Linked DNA regions of Saccharomyces cerevisiae S288C. The protein of the gene in region 3 purifies or fractionates together with the protein of the main gene of each other region. This does not show direct contact. Each region holds a gene or a part of one and is shown on either strand. Other genes may lie near its edges.

Region 1 (4,359 bases), on a different chromosome or scaffold from region 3:
ATTGGAAGACAACCTCAAACAGATTGATGATAGGTTGGACTTTTTAGAAGAGTACGGATTGGAGGTGATCGAAGCTAATAGCGACGAAAATGCAGAAGATGATGGTATGAGTGAGCGAAAGGCCCTTAAAAATGATGCTATAAGAAATGAGGGTGTCACCACAGAGAGCATATCATCAGAGGCTTCTAATCTACCTCCAAGGAGAAGGCAACAACTTCGAGACGATAACTCATTGAATAGATTAGGTGCCTTTTATAGCAAATCCAAAAAAAGACACAGAAAAAGCTTCCCAACATTCCAGCAGCTTTACGAGCCAGGAACAAAAATTGGCTCTATAATGTCCACTCACGATGATTTCCTCACTTGCCTAGATTTTGATGCGCCCTTTGGTACCTTATGTACAGCCGGATATCTTGATCACACGGTAAAAATTTGGGATTTATCCAAACAAAACAAAATTGGAGAACTAGCAGGACATCTTGCTACAATTAATTGTATGCAAATCAATCGTGACTACGGAACTCTTGTTACTGGTGGTAGAGATGCGGCTTTAAAATTATGGAATTTGAATTTAGCTCAACAACTTTACCAGGAAACGCAAAATCTTACCTCTCCTACAAATCATATTGATTCTCCATGTGTTCATACATTTGAGGCGCATACAGATGAGGTTACTGCATTATCATTAGATCCTAGTTTCTTGGTGAGTGGTTCACAGGATAGAACAATTAGGCAATGGGACTTACGTTCCGGGAAGTGCTTGCAAACCATTGATCTGAGCTTTGCAAATGTCTTAACAACATCCACTAATGTCGATTTATCAAAGAGCACACTTCTTACTCAAAGAAATGAGAGGCCTAGTATAGGTGCACTACAAAGTTTTGATGCAGCGCTAGCAACGGGTACAAAAGATGGTGTTGTAAGGCTATGGGATTTAAGATCCGGAAAGGTGATTCGTACTTTGAAAGGGCATACAGATGCCATAACGTCATTAAAATTTGATTCCGCGTGCCTGGTCACAGGTTCATACGACAGAACAGTTAGAATCTGGGACTTAAGAACTGGGTTGTTGAATAAGTTTCATGCGTACAGTGCGCCAGTTCTTTCGTTAGATCTCTTCCAAGAGAACGCTGCAGTCGTTGTCGCAGACGAACCAAGTGTCCAGATATACGATAGCGAAAAGGATGAAAGCTGGTCTTGCGTCGAACAAGGTAACGAGACTAGCGTTAGTACCGTTAAGTATAAAGAAAATTACATGGTTGAGGGTCGTGAAAATGGGGACGTAAATATTTGGGCCGTATGATAGGCATTGCATTGCAATCAAGTCAACCCATTTGAAGAAAAATAAATATCGAGTGCATATGTGAATAGCTGCTCGCTCAGATATATATAAATAAATATTCGTTCTGGAATGTAAATAAAGTATCGTCAATACCTTGGATGGTTTATCAGCGAAATCGGTGCTGTAGATGTTGCCCTGTCATATTACTACAGATGTCTTGGAAGCAATCACCATACCTGCATTATCCTTACCCGGAAAAAGAAAACTTTCGTGAATAATGATTAATATTTAAGTGGCGACTTTTTCATCCTTGCTATTGAAAAAAAAAAAAATGAATAATTGTTATTAAGCGTTAGCAGATGCCAAATTGTCGAAATGATTTCAAATACAGAGAATTAGCCGCAAATATTAAGTAGTACCTGAATCACGAGACATACAACTCGGAAAAATGAACTTTGGAAGCCAAACACCTACAATTGTGGTTCTAAAAGAGGGAACAGACGCATCTCAAGGTAAAGGTCAAATCATCTCTAATATCAATGCCTGTGTTGCAGTCCAAGAGGCATTGAAACCAACTTTAGGTCCCTTAGGTTCTGATATTTTAATTGTGACATCGAATCAAAAGACTACTATTTCTAACGATGGTGCCACGATCCTAAAATTATTAGATGTAGTACATCCTGCTGCCAAAACTTTAGTGGATATTTCTAGAGCTCAGGATGCCGAGGTGGGTGATGGTACAACTAGTGTAACCATTTTAGCTGGTGAGTTAATGAAAGAAGCCAAGCCCTTTTTGGAAGAAGGCATTTCATCTCATTTGATTATGAAGGGCTACAGAAAGGCCGTTTCTTTAGCTGTGGAGAAGATTAACGAATTAGCTGTGGATATTACTTCAGAGAAAAGCAGTGGCAGAGAATTACTTGAACGCTGTGCTAGAACTGCAATGTCGTCGAAATTGATTCATAATAATGCAGATTTTTTTGTTAAAATGTGTGTTGACGCCGTGCTATCCCTTGATAGAAACGATTTGGATGACAAATTAATAGGTATTAAAAAAATTCCAGGTGGTGCTATGGAAGAATCTCTTTTCATCAACGGTGTCGCCTTTAAGAAGACATTTTCGTATGCTGGATTTGAACAGCAACCCAAAAAGTTCAACAATCCTAAAATTTTAAGTTTGAATGTAGAACTGGAGTTGAAAGCAGAGAAAGACAATGCTGAAGTACGTGTAGAACATGTTGAAGATTACCAAGCTATTGTAGATGCGGAGTGGCAATTAATCTTTGAAAAGCTAAGACAAGTGGAAGAAACAGGTGCCAATATTGTACTATCAAAGTTACCTATCGGCGATTTGGCTACTCAATTTTTTGCTGATAGAAATATTTTCTGCGCTGGTAGAGTGAGCGCAGATGATATGAATCGTGTCATCCAAGCTGTTGGAGGCTCTATACAATCTACTACTTCAGATATAAAACCAGAGCATTTGGGTACTTGTGCTTTGTTTGAGGAAATGCAAATCGGGTCAGAACGCTACAATTTATTCCAAGGTTGCCCACAAGCTAAAACATGTACATTATTATTAAGAGGAGGTGCTGAGCAAGTTATTGCCGAGGTTGAGAGATCATTGCACGATGCAATCATGATAGTTAAGAGAGCGTTACAAAATAAACTGATCGTTGCTGGTGGTGGTGCTACAGAAATGGAAGTATCAAAATGCTTGAGAGATTATTCAAAAACCATAGCTGGTAAGCAACAAATGATAATCAATGCCTTCGCTAAGGCTTTAGAAGTTATTCCAAGGCAACTCTGTGAAAATGCTGGGTTTGATGCTATAGAAATATTAAACAAACTAAGATTGGCTCACAGCAAAGGTGAGAAATGGTATGGTGTTGTCTTTGAAACAGAAAATATTGGCGATAATTTTGCCAAATTCGTATGGGAACCTGCTTTAGTAAAAATCAATGCTTTGAACAGTGCCACAGAGGCTACTAACTTGATTTTATCTGTTGACGAGACGATCACTAATAAAGGTAGTGAAAGTGCCAATGCTGGCATGATGCCTCCCCAAGGGGCTGGAAGAGGGAGAGGTATGCCAATGTAATTAACACTCTAAAAAACATGTGCTGCATACATTTTATTATTACTCTTTTTGCAGTAGTTATTTGCATCAAAGGTAATTTCTTTCAATCATAAATAAGTTAATACTGTATTGATAAAACCTTATTCTTTTCTTTTGTATACTCTGTATCTTAAAGTAATTCTAGGTCTAAAGAAAAATGAAAGAAGTAATGAAAACTCCGAGAAACAAATCATATCATTGGTCGTCATCCGGGTTGGATGTCATGCAGCTGCATTCCATTTCTTCGGCAAAATGTACGTAATATTCGATTAGAACCCTGTTTTGCAACTGATTATGCTACTATGTATTTATATATGCATACATATGATGATATTATATTTGAAAAATGATGCTGATTTTTTTGAAAAAAAGATCTATCCTCCTTTATTCCCTTCTTGTTTTACTGTCCTTTGCAAACGTTCCTCAAGAGCTCGACATTTCCCGTCTAATTCATTGATATGTCTCCTATATAAATCTGTAACAAGTTCTAACTCATTTATTCTAGTTTTGAGCTTTATAATTTCTTCTTCTTTGTGCAATTTAGTGGATAACTGATCACCTAAATCTTTAGCTGGGTGATTTTCAAATTTTCGTCCAGAAACATCAGAACTAGAAACACTATTTGAGATGGATTGTGAATTTGCTTTGGATATACAGGGAGCTTTAGAAGATTGTAGAAACGGTATGAAATGAGGCGGTGTCGTCTCGGTTTTCACGTTGCTAATCGCACGATCTCTCGTCTCAAGCATGTCGTTAATAGAAGCCATGTGGAAAGATAAAGGGGCTGGGTCGTTACGCTTAGCAGATATTATATCTGGGGAAGACATCGTCGATCTAATTTGATTCGGTACCTCGGATGGATTAGAGTCAGTCGTCCGTGAAGAAGTGGGTGCCAGAGTTGCGGCGGTAGAGGCAATACCATTATTGCAATTGGACACTATTTCACTTCCGTTATTTG
Region 2 (4,681 bases), on a different chromosome or scaffold from region 3:
TTTCAAGTGCGGTTTCAGTTCATTCAACATAAAGAGAAACATATTTTCCATAGTCACATAAGGCCCTTCTTTTTCATTGTTATCAAAACTTGGTGTTAAAAGTTCTCTTTCTACCAAGGCGGCACTTCTAACAAATAAAGTCTCTAAAACATGGGAAGCATATTTATGACATGACAACCCGAAGAAAACGCCATTGAAAGATTGGAAAATGTCTTTTAACTGAGTCTCATCACATTCAAGAATAACTCGTTCCATCAATTTCGAAGTTATTTGGGAAGTAACCAATTTCAGTTCTTTACCTTTTGCTTCCTCAATAATGCTCGTGACGAATTGAAACTTTTCCTCAGGTGCTTCGAAGGCGTCTAATTGCAAAGTCGATTCGGCTTGCTTGAAATACTCCAGTTCTTCTCTATCTAGCACACCAAAAAACATTTGTGGCTGAGTCTCTTTAATTTCGGCTTCGTCATTGTAAGTAGACTCTTCTTGCTGGATGTGCTCCTTCGCAGAATTTGAACTGGGTTCAAATTCGTCCTTTCTCTGTTTGTCTTGGTGTCTTCTGCCTCTTGTTTTAGTCTTTCCCATAATAACAATAATGTGGTTTTTCCGTGAAGGTTTCAGCGTCGTTCACAGTATACTAGTTGTAACAGATCGCAGCTCATCTAATATAATTTTCTTCATTATATTGTAGATGAGCATGAAAATTCTCGCTAACCGAAAAAAAATTGAAAAAAAAAAAAGTATTACAATCATCGAACAAATATACAGGCCAAGAGTTCGTCGGTTTTGCAGGTTGCTTCTTGGTTAATGTATACAGTACATCTGCATTATCAAAAATTCAAACATTATATATATCTTTACTACTATACAGGTACACATGATACAGCCTAGCAAGTTTGAAAACTTGATTGCAATTTATGACATTATATTCTGCTGTTTGCAGGTATATCTACTTTGTAAGTATAAAGATGCAAACAAATCAGTCTTCTTGGTCCCAGTTACCTGGCCTTGGGCCTTGAGGTGCTCTTGGACCACCCGCCTTCTTTGCCATGATAATTTGGTCAATGGAAAGCACAGTAGTTGCAGCTTCTGTAGCGACGTTAATAGCAAACTTTTTCGTTGCAAGCATGTCATAAATATTTTCCTCTCTGATGTCCTTTACACCTTCATCAGATTCGCCATCAATATCCACACCTTTATATAAATGATCTGTCTTAACTGCACCAGGTTCAGTTACGTTATGTGCAGCGTATAAGTTTGGTAGTACCTCATTAACATCAAGACCAGCGGTCTCCGCTAGGGTACGAGGAACCACTTCAAAAGCCACGGCAAACTGTTTTATAGCTAACTGTAGCAATCCAGGTGTTCGTTCACCATACTTAGTTATCCTAGAAATCAATTCAATTTCGGTAGCACCAGCACCAGGCAACAACTTACCGCCTGATGGCTTCATTAGTCCCTTGACGGCTGCAACACCATCATCAATGGCTCTTTCAATATCATCCAAATTATTCTGTGTGGCACCTCTTAAAATGATAGTAGATGTTCTTGAAATTTCACCTTGCTCTTGTTTGAACACAGTTACTCTATCACCACCTATCTCCATTGTCTTAACAGTTTCCACTAAACCTAATTCTTCTGGAGTTGGCGCACCTAATCTAGGCAATGGAGTGGCCCCACAAACGCGACATAATCTTCTTAATTCGAATTTGCTTGGTACCTTCAAGACTAGTATACCGTATCTATTCAAATAATGTAACGCCAATTCACCAACACCAGCACCTGCAACAATGCATTCTACGCCCATGTCGGCAATCTCTTTCATCATGGCATCTATTTGCTTTTCCTCGCCCTTAGAAAAATCGAGCATTTCTTGTGCATTATGTAATAAAACAGTGCCTTTCGTTTCAGTATTGGCTATGTCAAGCGGACAAGTGAAAACTGCAACTTTATGCTTTTTATCTTCGGATAATGATTTTACATGGCCTTCAGGCTCACGATTGAAAACCATACCTTTGATGACGGTAGAATTGGAAAGCGATCCACCCATAATCTTTACTACTCTGATAGAATCAACATTAAAATAAGGAATTTCTCCAGCTTGCTGAGCAACTGGTAAAACGTGAGATACAGCTTCAGAAACAAGTTCACTCAATATGTCTTCAGATCCGTACTTTTTGGAGGAGATGACTGGTTTAATCATTTTCAAAAGTTCGTTTTTATCATTCTTGTCAGTAATTTCACCAACAACCATTTCGTCTAGTTCTTTCAAAGTAAACTTCCTTGCCATATTATAACCTTGAATAATCTCAACGGCAGACAAGCCCATTGAAATCAGTTTTTCGGACACATTTAATAGTTCGCCAGCCAAAATCATGACTAAATTTGTACCGTCTCCCATGTCGATCTTCTGTTGTTCAGTCGCCATTACGAGGACTTTCACTGCAGGATGGACAATATCTAGTTCTCTTAGCATGGTGGCCGCGTCGTTGGTAATAATGATTTTACCGAGATGGTTAACAATGATCTTGTTTCTACCACAGGGTCCCATAGAAGTCAAACACATTTGATGTAATTCGCGAATGGCCGCAATTGATTTAATAATTTGGCCATCGGCGTTAGAGTAACTATTGTAGCCTTGTTTAAACAATCCCGCGTTGGGATTTTGTGGCAATCTAAGTGACATGGTTAATTGATGATTTTATTGCCCTTGAGGTTCAAGTTGTCTTGTCGGTATCTGTAAAGTGAGAACATCATCATGCTATACTATTTTCTTCACTTTTTTTTGCCACTAGCGGAGGTGATGAACATTTTCGAATACCGTTAATAATGACAAAAACACCATTAACTTGGCTTATATAAAATAAGCTATTGAAATAGTAAATGTGCTCGCAACTCTTTAATTATCTAAATCCGGCAGCTTCTTTATTGATTAATAATACAAAATGTTCGGACAAGTGATCATTAGATATCAACATGAATTCAATTGGTAACAATTTCGATGCTTACATTTTATGCTAGTATACACCACGCATATGTCTGTCAATGTACCTATTACAGAAGGAAATGTTCAAGAAGCAGTTCAGACAGTACCGAAGCAGAATTAAAAATCCATTATTTGAATATGATCTGATAGTCATATATATGAGCAATACAGGTCTTCACATTAAATGTATGAGAACTGCCGGAACCACTATTACATTGGTCACAATTAGGAATGAACCAATCGGCGTGTGTTTTATATCCCCCTTATATAAGTCTAAGAAGATCGATATTCAATCTTCATTAATAAAGCTTTTTGACCTCTACCTATGAGCAATAAACCATATCCATCAATAGTGGTCAAGCCGTAAGAATGTTTTTACCGAGAATAGAAGTAAACTTTTCTTATTGTATATAAGAAAAGCATATAAACACGCGCCCAGAGAACATATTCAGTATGCCCTAGCTTGGAAACACATCAGTAAAATACTACGCGCCTAGTATAATGACTTCTATATCCAAAATTTTTAAGTTAACCTTTCAAGTAAAAGATCTTTGCCTTATACTACTGTCTGAACAACTCGTATAAATTAATGTATGATATGAACATTCCCATTGTTACGATAGATGTCCTAATGAGGATCAACTATAATCTATCGAATAGTATTCATATTACTAATATATTATCATGTACGATGTACCAAGATGGCATGAAGATTGAGAAAACAGTCATCAGATTTAATAGATGCTGAAATGCCAGGACTGATAGTGTAACAGAATAATGAATGATATCATATAAATTGGGGAAACAATAATGACAATATTATGTGAAAATATCAATTCTCTTTTGTGGATTACAAGATCCCCTGGAGAACTTCTAGTATGTCCTGTATACCCGGTGCTATATCCTTTAATAACCATGGAATCCGCAAATATTTGATGTAAAGTTTGTTTTTCTTCCCCAACATCCTTTGTATGCTTCAGTAGCTCAGTAGGAAGAGCGTCAGTCTCATAATCTGAAGGTCGAGAGTTCGAACCTCCCCTGGAGCACATTTTCTTTTTTTGTGAATTAAACCTCGAAGCTCAACATTCATGTTTTGAGATAAAAAAAGGTACTTATTACTTGTGTAAAAGAAAGTTTATAATGATGATCTTATTTAAGTTTATAGTAGGACTTTCTATGCATGTCTTGTAGAACTATTTATGCTGGACTCGCCATTAATTAGCTCCAGTGAAAGTACATATCTTCTTTCTTGGACATTATTATCTCTAGTAATAGTGATATAAGGATCGGCATTCAACAGGTGATCTGGTATTTGCGGCAATCCAGATTCTGGTCCTGCGTTTTTTTTCAGTTCCATAAACCTTTCAACGCCAATCGGCAGCAAATCAGCCGGTAAATGACGTTGTAGATCGCACATATCGAATGAATTGATGTAAAAATTGACTATATCAAAATAAGCTTCATTTACGGATTTCTCGTCTGTTTCAAATAAAGAATACCTTTTACTTGACCAATTCTTATTATCTAGTAATTCATATGCTATTTTCAAAATGGCCAATGCAATGGAATGTTGGGGTATGACTAAAATAGTTTCTAGCTTCAAAGCATCATAAGCAATTACCCAAGCCAGATTGCACAACTTATAATCAAAGGATAGCTCCCTACCAATTTTTATAACATATTCATCAATATGAACGT
Region 3 (5,757 bases):
CCCTCAAGTCCTCCCTTGAAACAAACCTGGGCAAACATATTTCCAATATATTGTCGGTAAATACCAGATTGAGGAGATCCACCTCCAACAGGCACAAAATATATATAGTGTCATAGTTTGGTCTAATGACTCCTTTTATCTTGTCAAGGTGGACGCAAAACTCTAGTAAATTCTTTCTGAAGAAAGAATAATCAAGAGCGAGCTTCAAATATAATGCTTTTTCCGGGAATATGTTTTTATTGTTGAATTGCTTTCCCTCCTGGAGCTCTTCTAATAGTTTCACCAATTTGGTGTCCAAACAAAATGGCTGAGGGCTGTGTTGGTTACTCATTGTTTTGGTATGCACTAGCTGATTAAAACTCTCGGTCTTATTTTATTAGTAGCTGTGACGCGTAATCAAATTAACCCAAGTTCATTACTTATATTAACACTGTCGGCGGCTAAAATGCGATCGTCCCGTTTAGCGGATAGAACTACAAAACCAGATATATATTCTGCATCTGCAACTTTCAAAGTTTACCGTTTTCTCAATACTCTACTTGCTAGTGAAATGGCGGTAGTGATAGGCAACCTGTATCCACTTTGTAAAAGGTATTTCACTATATCTGTCGCCAAGAGCAATCTACAGTACGATTCCTAAATCGGCAGATCATCCTATATTTAGATCGTAGATAATATTACTCAGATAAGATTGCTGATGAAACTTTACTATATTGAGTTTTCTAAATGTTTCCTTACGAAGTTCTTGATATAGTCACCGTGATGAAACAATTTGTATTTAGTTGGTGTGACCTCAAATTTTTACGGTTTTTTGAAAAGAACCCGTTATGAAATTAAGAAAAACAGTAATTCAAAAATGTGAAGAAATTAGGAAACAAAATATCTTAAAAAGATTGAACGAACACTCTGTTACCAACAAGAATATGTTTATCACATCAGTTTAAGCATGCCTCCAAGAAGTATAGAAGAATGGTTTTACTACAAGTTACTGAGTAGTCCAGGTTTCCATAGATTTGTACGCAAGGTATATAGGAAAGTAAATGGTATTAAAGAAGATCCTTTCACTGACCAATCAACTGCTTTTCAATATCTTTATAAGCCAACTCCACGACAGAAATTTAAGGCTTTAAGGCTTTTATTTTGGGATGAAATGAGATCTACTTTTGGGTTCAGAAGGAGACTAGGAGACCGCTTTAAAAAAGATTAATTCATCCTTGTCTGATGTACAAGTACTATAAAACAGACAAAAGTACCTTTTGACTGCATTTCACACTAAAATCTCTTTTTAAAACGAAAAAAACGCATGCAATTTAAATAATATTACTACGTACTATTTGGCATTTCTATTTAACACCATTATATATATTCAAAACTATATATTACACAACTTCCGGAAGGGAAACAACTATATAATACACTCGGAATACAACTTTAAAACCTTGAAAATAAGAATTAGCCATAAAAATCTTGGAGGGAAGCACTTGGCATCAAGACTCCTTTGCTTGGCTGTTTAAAGGATTTCACTTTCGATAGAGAGACATCGTCTTTCAAGGCAACGATAACCTTTTTGTCTGAACCAAATTCAAAATTATCAGCAACAACATCAGCATTGTACCTACGGATTCTGTAAGGATAATTATTACTACCATCTTGATTTAAAATGCCCTTTAATGACCAAGAAATCGCATAAGGACCCGTCGATGTAACAATAGTTTGTTCTTGCTGGCCTATACCGGTATTAAAATAAGCCTTCGTAAATCGGATTGGTTTTTTTGTGTACGTTAAGATTGATGCCGAATGTTCTGGTCGTATTTTTAATACATATGTTTTAACATTTTCACTGGCTGGGAACGACTTCAGAAATCCAATGTTGCCAGCATTTTTTCCATCCTTAATTTTCAAATCCATAAGAAGCAGAGTACTCTCGCAAGTCGCCAATAACCATTTACCGTCAGCAGAGGTAGTAATAAACTTGATTGCTTGGCCTAGTGAAGGTATAGCAGTTTTTGCCCTAATACCGAGCCTATCATATAGTTTTATGTCACCTTTTTCTGACCCAATAGCAATATAACCACTCTCTGTTGTTCCAATAGAGCTAAAGTTATATTTACCCACGTAATCTTTTGATTCATCGACGGCTATTTTATTTTTTCCGTTAATTCTAGGATCAATTTTAAAGACACCTTTCTGTGAAACGCCAACAATTGTTTGTTCAGGCGTCATTTGATCGAATTTTTTGGTTGGACCATATTGAACAACATTCTTGTCACCAGTAGACCATTCTTCAATCACCTTTCCTCTTTCTATATCCATCTTATAAAGTTTGTTCTCATTTTCGCCATCAGTCAAAATTAAATTACGATCTTCCATATACAACATTGGCTTATGAGGATCAATGCTTTTACCACCTAAATTAGAAATATTCTTTATGGCAGCTACAAATTCTAGAGAATCGTCTTCATCATCCGTTTTGAACACACCAATTCTGTTATCTCTTGTAACATATGACCTGTTGTTCCTAAAGGCGACAGTCAATGAACTATTACCTTTGGAAGTCGCACGCCTAGGTTCTTCAAAGGCTTCAGATGAAATGATTCTTTTGGAGTGATCGTTTTCGTCATCCTCATCTTCGCTATCATTTTCACTTTCGCTTGATTCTTTATCTCTTTCCTCATTTGATCTGTCATCTATGTGTAAAATGTCATCAAATTGCTTTTCCAATGGCACGGATGATGAATCTAAAATATAATCTTTCTCCTTTTCAGGAACGTCGGTCCACGTTTCTTTGTTCAAAGTCATCCATAAACATTTAACCCAAGCAAACCTGAATTGAATACACTTATCTAAGTCCTTAAATTTTAACATATAAGACAATGTAATGTTTTGTAGCGTATAGTTGAAAAGAAAGGCATCGGTAGCTAATTCAAAGGTAGGATTGATATTTGGGGCGACCTGAGTCCCAAGACGATTATCTTTACCTTCTATCGCTAGCCAAAATTCGTACTTGCCTGTATCAATAATTGCTACCTTTACCACGGGCTCCTGCAGAATAAATTTTTCTTGAATTGGATCATACATGTATAGGCTAGACATCACTAAACAACAATATTCCCCTTCTGGAACTTTTTTCAATGGAGAAGGAGTTCTTTCCAATATTTCACTTTCCTTCTCGTGCTCAAAAGAGGTGTCTTTAGCATCTTGAAAGTCATCTGAGCTTGAATCTAACTCGTCATCATCATCTTGAACAAAGAGCCTGGTTGATCTATGCTCTATTTCCTTTAAGTCATCTGCTGAGGCAGTGAGAGAGGATTTTTTATTCCTTACTTCGAATTGGCATCGGTAAACAGTTTGGATAAACTGTTCAACATCAGAAAACGACACATCAGCGGCAACAACAAATTGAACCTTTTCATCTTGTTCATCACCTCTTAAGTTCTCCCACACAAGCGCCACGTTTCCTTGTTTATCCCATGTTTTGTGAAACATGATTTTATCCGATATTTCAACGCTCCACTCCTCTTCTTTCTTTTTAGACTGTGTGGATAAAACACTGATGGTGTCGTCTTCAAAATTCTCAGCCTCATCTCCCGTGCCTCCTTCACTATCGTCCTCTACCCTATAAACCGCCAACTCATAATCAAATTTGCCTATTTTACGTACGCTTAAAGTTGCATTGTTGTAAATACATTCTAAAGCAGCTTTAGGGGAATTCTTAGACCTCAAAAGATTAAACTGCCCAGAAGGTATCGTGATGAGCTCTGGCTTGTTACCAGACTCCATAAACTTCTTCAAAATGTTCATCAGTCACTATAACTACTGCAGATATTATTGGACTGGATACGTAAAGAAAGAATGAAGTTTGTTTCTACTAATCAAGTTCGAATGAAGTGCTTGACTACTTTGCTTTCAGTGCTGTCCTTAAGGGACATTACTAAGTAAAAGTGATTAGTAAAAATAACAACATTCCCACAGTCGTCTAAAATGATCATAAAGCTAGTAAATATGAAATGATGGTAGAACTAAAACACCAATCACCAATGGTGTAGAAAGTCTCCAAGGAGAGTCGATCGTATACTGTTCATATCACGGTAAGCTATTTAACAAGGCACTACGTATTCCCTTCGACTTCCTTCTGAATCATTTGGTTAGCACTTGGCATGAACATTCTGCGAATAGCATGTCGTTCTTTTCATTGCCTGCGCTGCGGTCCATTACTCAATGAGAACAGGGGATGGTCATCCAAAAAGATTATTAAATTAGTCAATAAATCGAGTTTGTCCAATAAAGAGTTTACAGAAAAAGTACGAGATGGTACGAAAGACATTCCTGAGTGGAAGAAGCAGAAAATGGCAGTTAGAAAAAAATTGCAAGGCCAGAGGTGGAACCCACCAAAAAAGATATCACAGGAACAAATGGAGGCTCTAAGACTATTGAAATTCAACTTTCCTGAACTGACAGCATCTGATCTTGCAGACCGGTTCAAAATTTCTCCCGAGGCTGTTCGAAGAATTTTGAAGTCCAACTGGAAGCGTACTGATGAGGAAAACAATAACACCTACGAGAGATGGAAAAGAAGAGGAGAACGGATAAAAGAAATGTATCAAAGAAAAGAGGATGCCGATTTTGTATCCAATCAAATTGTTACTAGCAGAAAGATTATACTTGGGTCCAACTCAAATTCACCTGAATTAATAGCAAGGAATGTTCGCACTTTTAAACCTTTCAAGCCTAACAACAGTACACCTGAAAAGAAAAACACCAACAAACTATACATTTTGAAGCATTTGGGCTCGAAACAATAACACTTTTGAGGGATTTATATATTATTACGAAACTTCTTGTAGATAAAGGAACATATATATGTACATTAGAATAGAGAGCATGCAGTAATATCGTTAGTGGAACCGTTTCTGCACTTTCACTTGCAAAAATTGGTATGTGTCTTCTTAGGTACTATGAAAAATAACGGTATTGTTCGCCACTGATCAGACGGATGCGTTACGTGCACTAGAGCGTTTTAAATTCAATGCTATTATTTTTGATTGTTACCTTGGCACTTGGCCATTCACAAACCAACCTTTGATTTCTCGGATTCCCTGTATAATATTTCTTGATTTATTTGAGAAAGCTCGGGACCTATCTGTTAACTCAACCTGGTCAGTCACCATCTTAATTTGAAAGACAAAATCGTCTATACTTTCAGATGGTTGGCCTGAGGATCTGTTAAAATACTGTAATTCTTGTTTCATATTTTGCAGTTGATAAATCATTTCAGCCCAATGGCTATTATCTTCTCGTATTATATTGTCGTCTGAAGTTTGAGTGGACCTCTCCACAAAGTTATTCTGTTCGTTGAACCCCAACGACGATACTGGGGTCATCACCAGTCGTTTTTGCAATTGCGCTATGATTCTTCTCAAACGCAACAAAACAAACAAGGAAAAATCATTTCTCTGCTGGTACTGCTTTTGTAGCGTTGGTTCAACAAACATAGCAATAACAAAATATAGAAATGCATAAATTGATCCACCATTATATAACAAGCCCTTGATGGCATTCACCGTTGGATTAGTTCCCTCTATTTTTTTAATGCCTATGTTGGAAGGCCAGTCAATATTCCTGGGAAAACTGTTAATCGATGTCATGATTTTTAGTCTGCCTTACGTGGTTCTGCTTATCAGAATGATGGAAATATTTCAATGCTTTCATTTTATCTTGGACCCTTATAAATTTACTTGACAACGCGGGTGTAACAAT

The links. Proteins that work in one complex are often made in the same cells at the same time.
Region 1: the proteins of VID27 (region 3) and CCT7 purify together in Saccharomyces cerevisiae (affinity purification with mass spectrometry; 2 studies listed by BioGRID). This does not show direct contact.
Region 2: the proteins of VID27 (region 3) and CCT8 purify together in Saccharomyces cerevisiae (affinity purification with mass spectrometry, with the first as the bait; 2 studies listed by BioGRID). This does not show direct contact.

The regions. Positions count from the first base shown.
Region 1 is NC_001142.9:206,147-210,505, forward strand, and holds CCT7 (chaperonin-containing T-complex subunit CCT7), read left to right. Parts: upstream 1-1,730; coding exon 1,731-3,383; downstream 3,384-4,359. Other genes in the region: MDV1 (Mdv1p), read left to right, coding at 1-1,303; GZF3 (Gzf3p), read right to left, coding at 3,776-4,359. UniProt on the Saccharomyces cerevisiae protein: Molecular chaperone; assists the folding of proteins upon ATP hydrolysis. Known to play a role, in vitro, in the folding of actin and tubulin. In yeast may play a role in mitotic spindle formation.
Region 2 is NC_001142.9:418,981-423,661, forward strand, and holds CCT8 (chaperonin-containing T-complex subunit CCT8), read right to left. Parts: upstream 2,684-4,681; coding exon 977-2,683; downstream 1-976. Other genes in the region: RNA-binding RNA processing protein NOP9, read right to left, coding at 1-582; YJL007C (uncharacterized protein), read right to left, coding at 3,718-4,032; CTK2 (Ctk2p), read right to left, coding at 4,158-4,681. UniProt on the Saccharomyces cerevisiae protein: Molecular chaperone; assists the folding of proteins upon ATP hydrolysis. Known to play a role, in vitro, in the folding of actin and tubulin. In yeast may play a role in mitotic spindle formation.
Region 3 is NC_001146.8:245,505-251,261, reverse strand, and holds VID27 (Vid27p), read right to left. Parts: upstream 3,802-5,757; coding exon 1,453-3,801; downstream 1-1,452. Other genes in the region: MER1 (Mer1p), read right to left, coding at 1-331; MRX7 (Mrx7p), read left to right, coding at 947-1,207; mitochondrial ribosome assembly protein RRG9, read left to right, coding at 4,158-4,802; PEX17 (Pex17p), read right to left, coding at 5,046-5,645. UniProt on the Saccharomyces cerevisiae protein: Has a role in the negative regulation of gluconeogenesis. Required for vacuolar catabolite degradation of fructose-1,6-bisphosphatase (FBPase).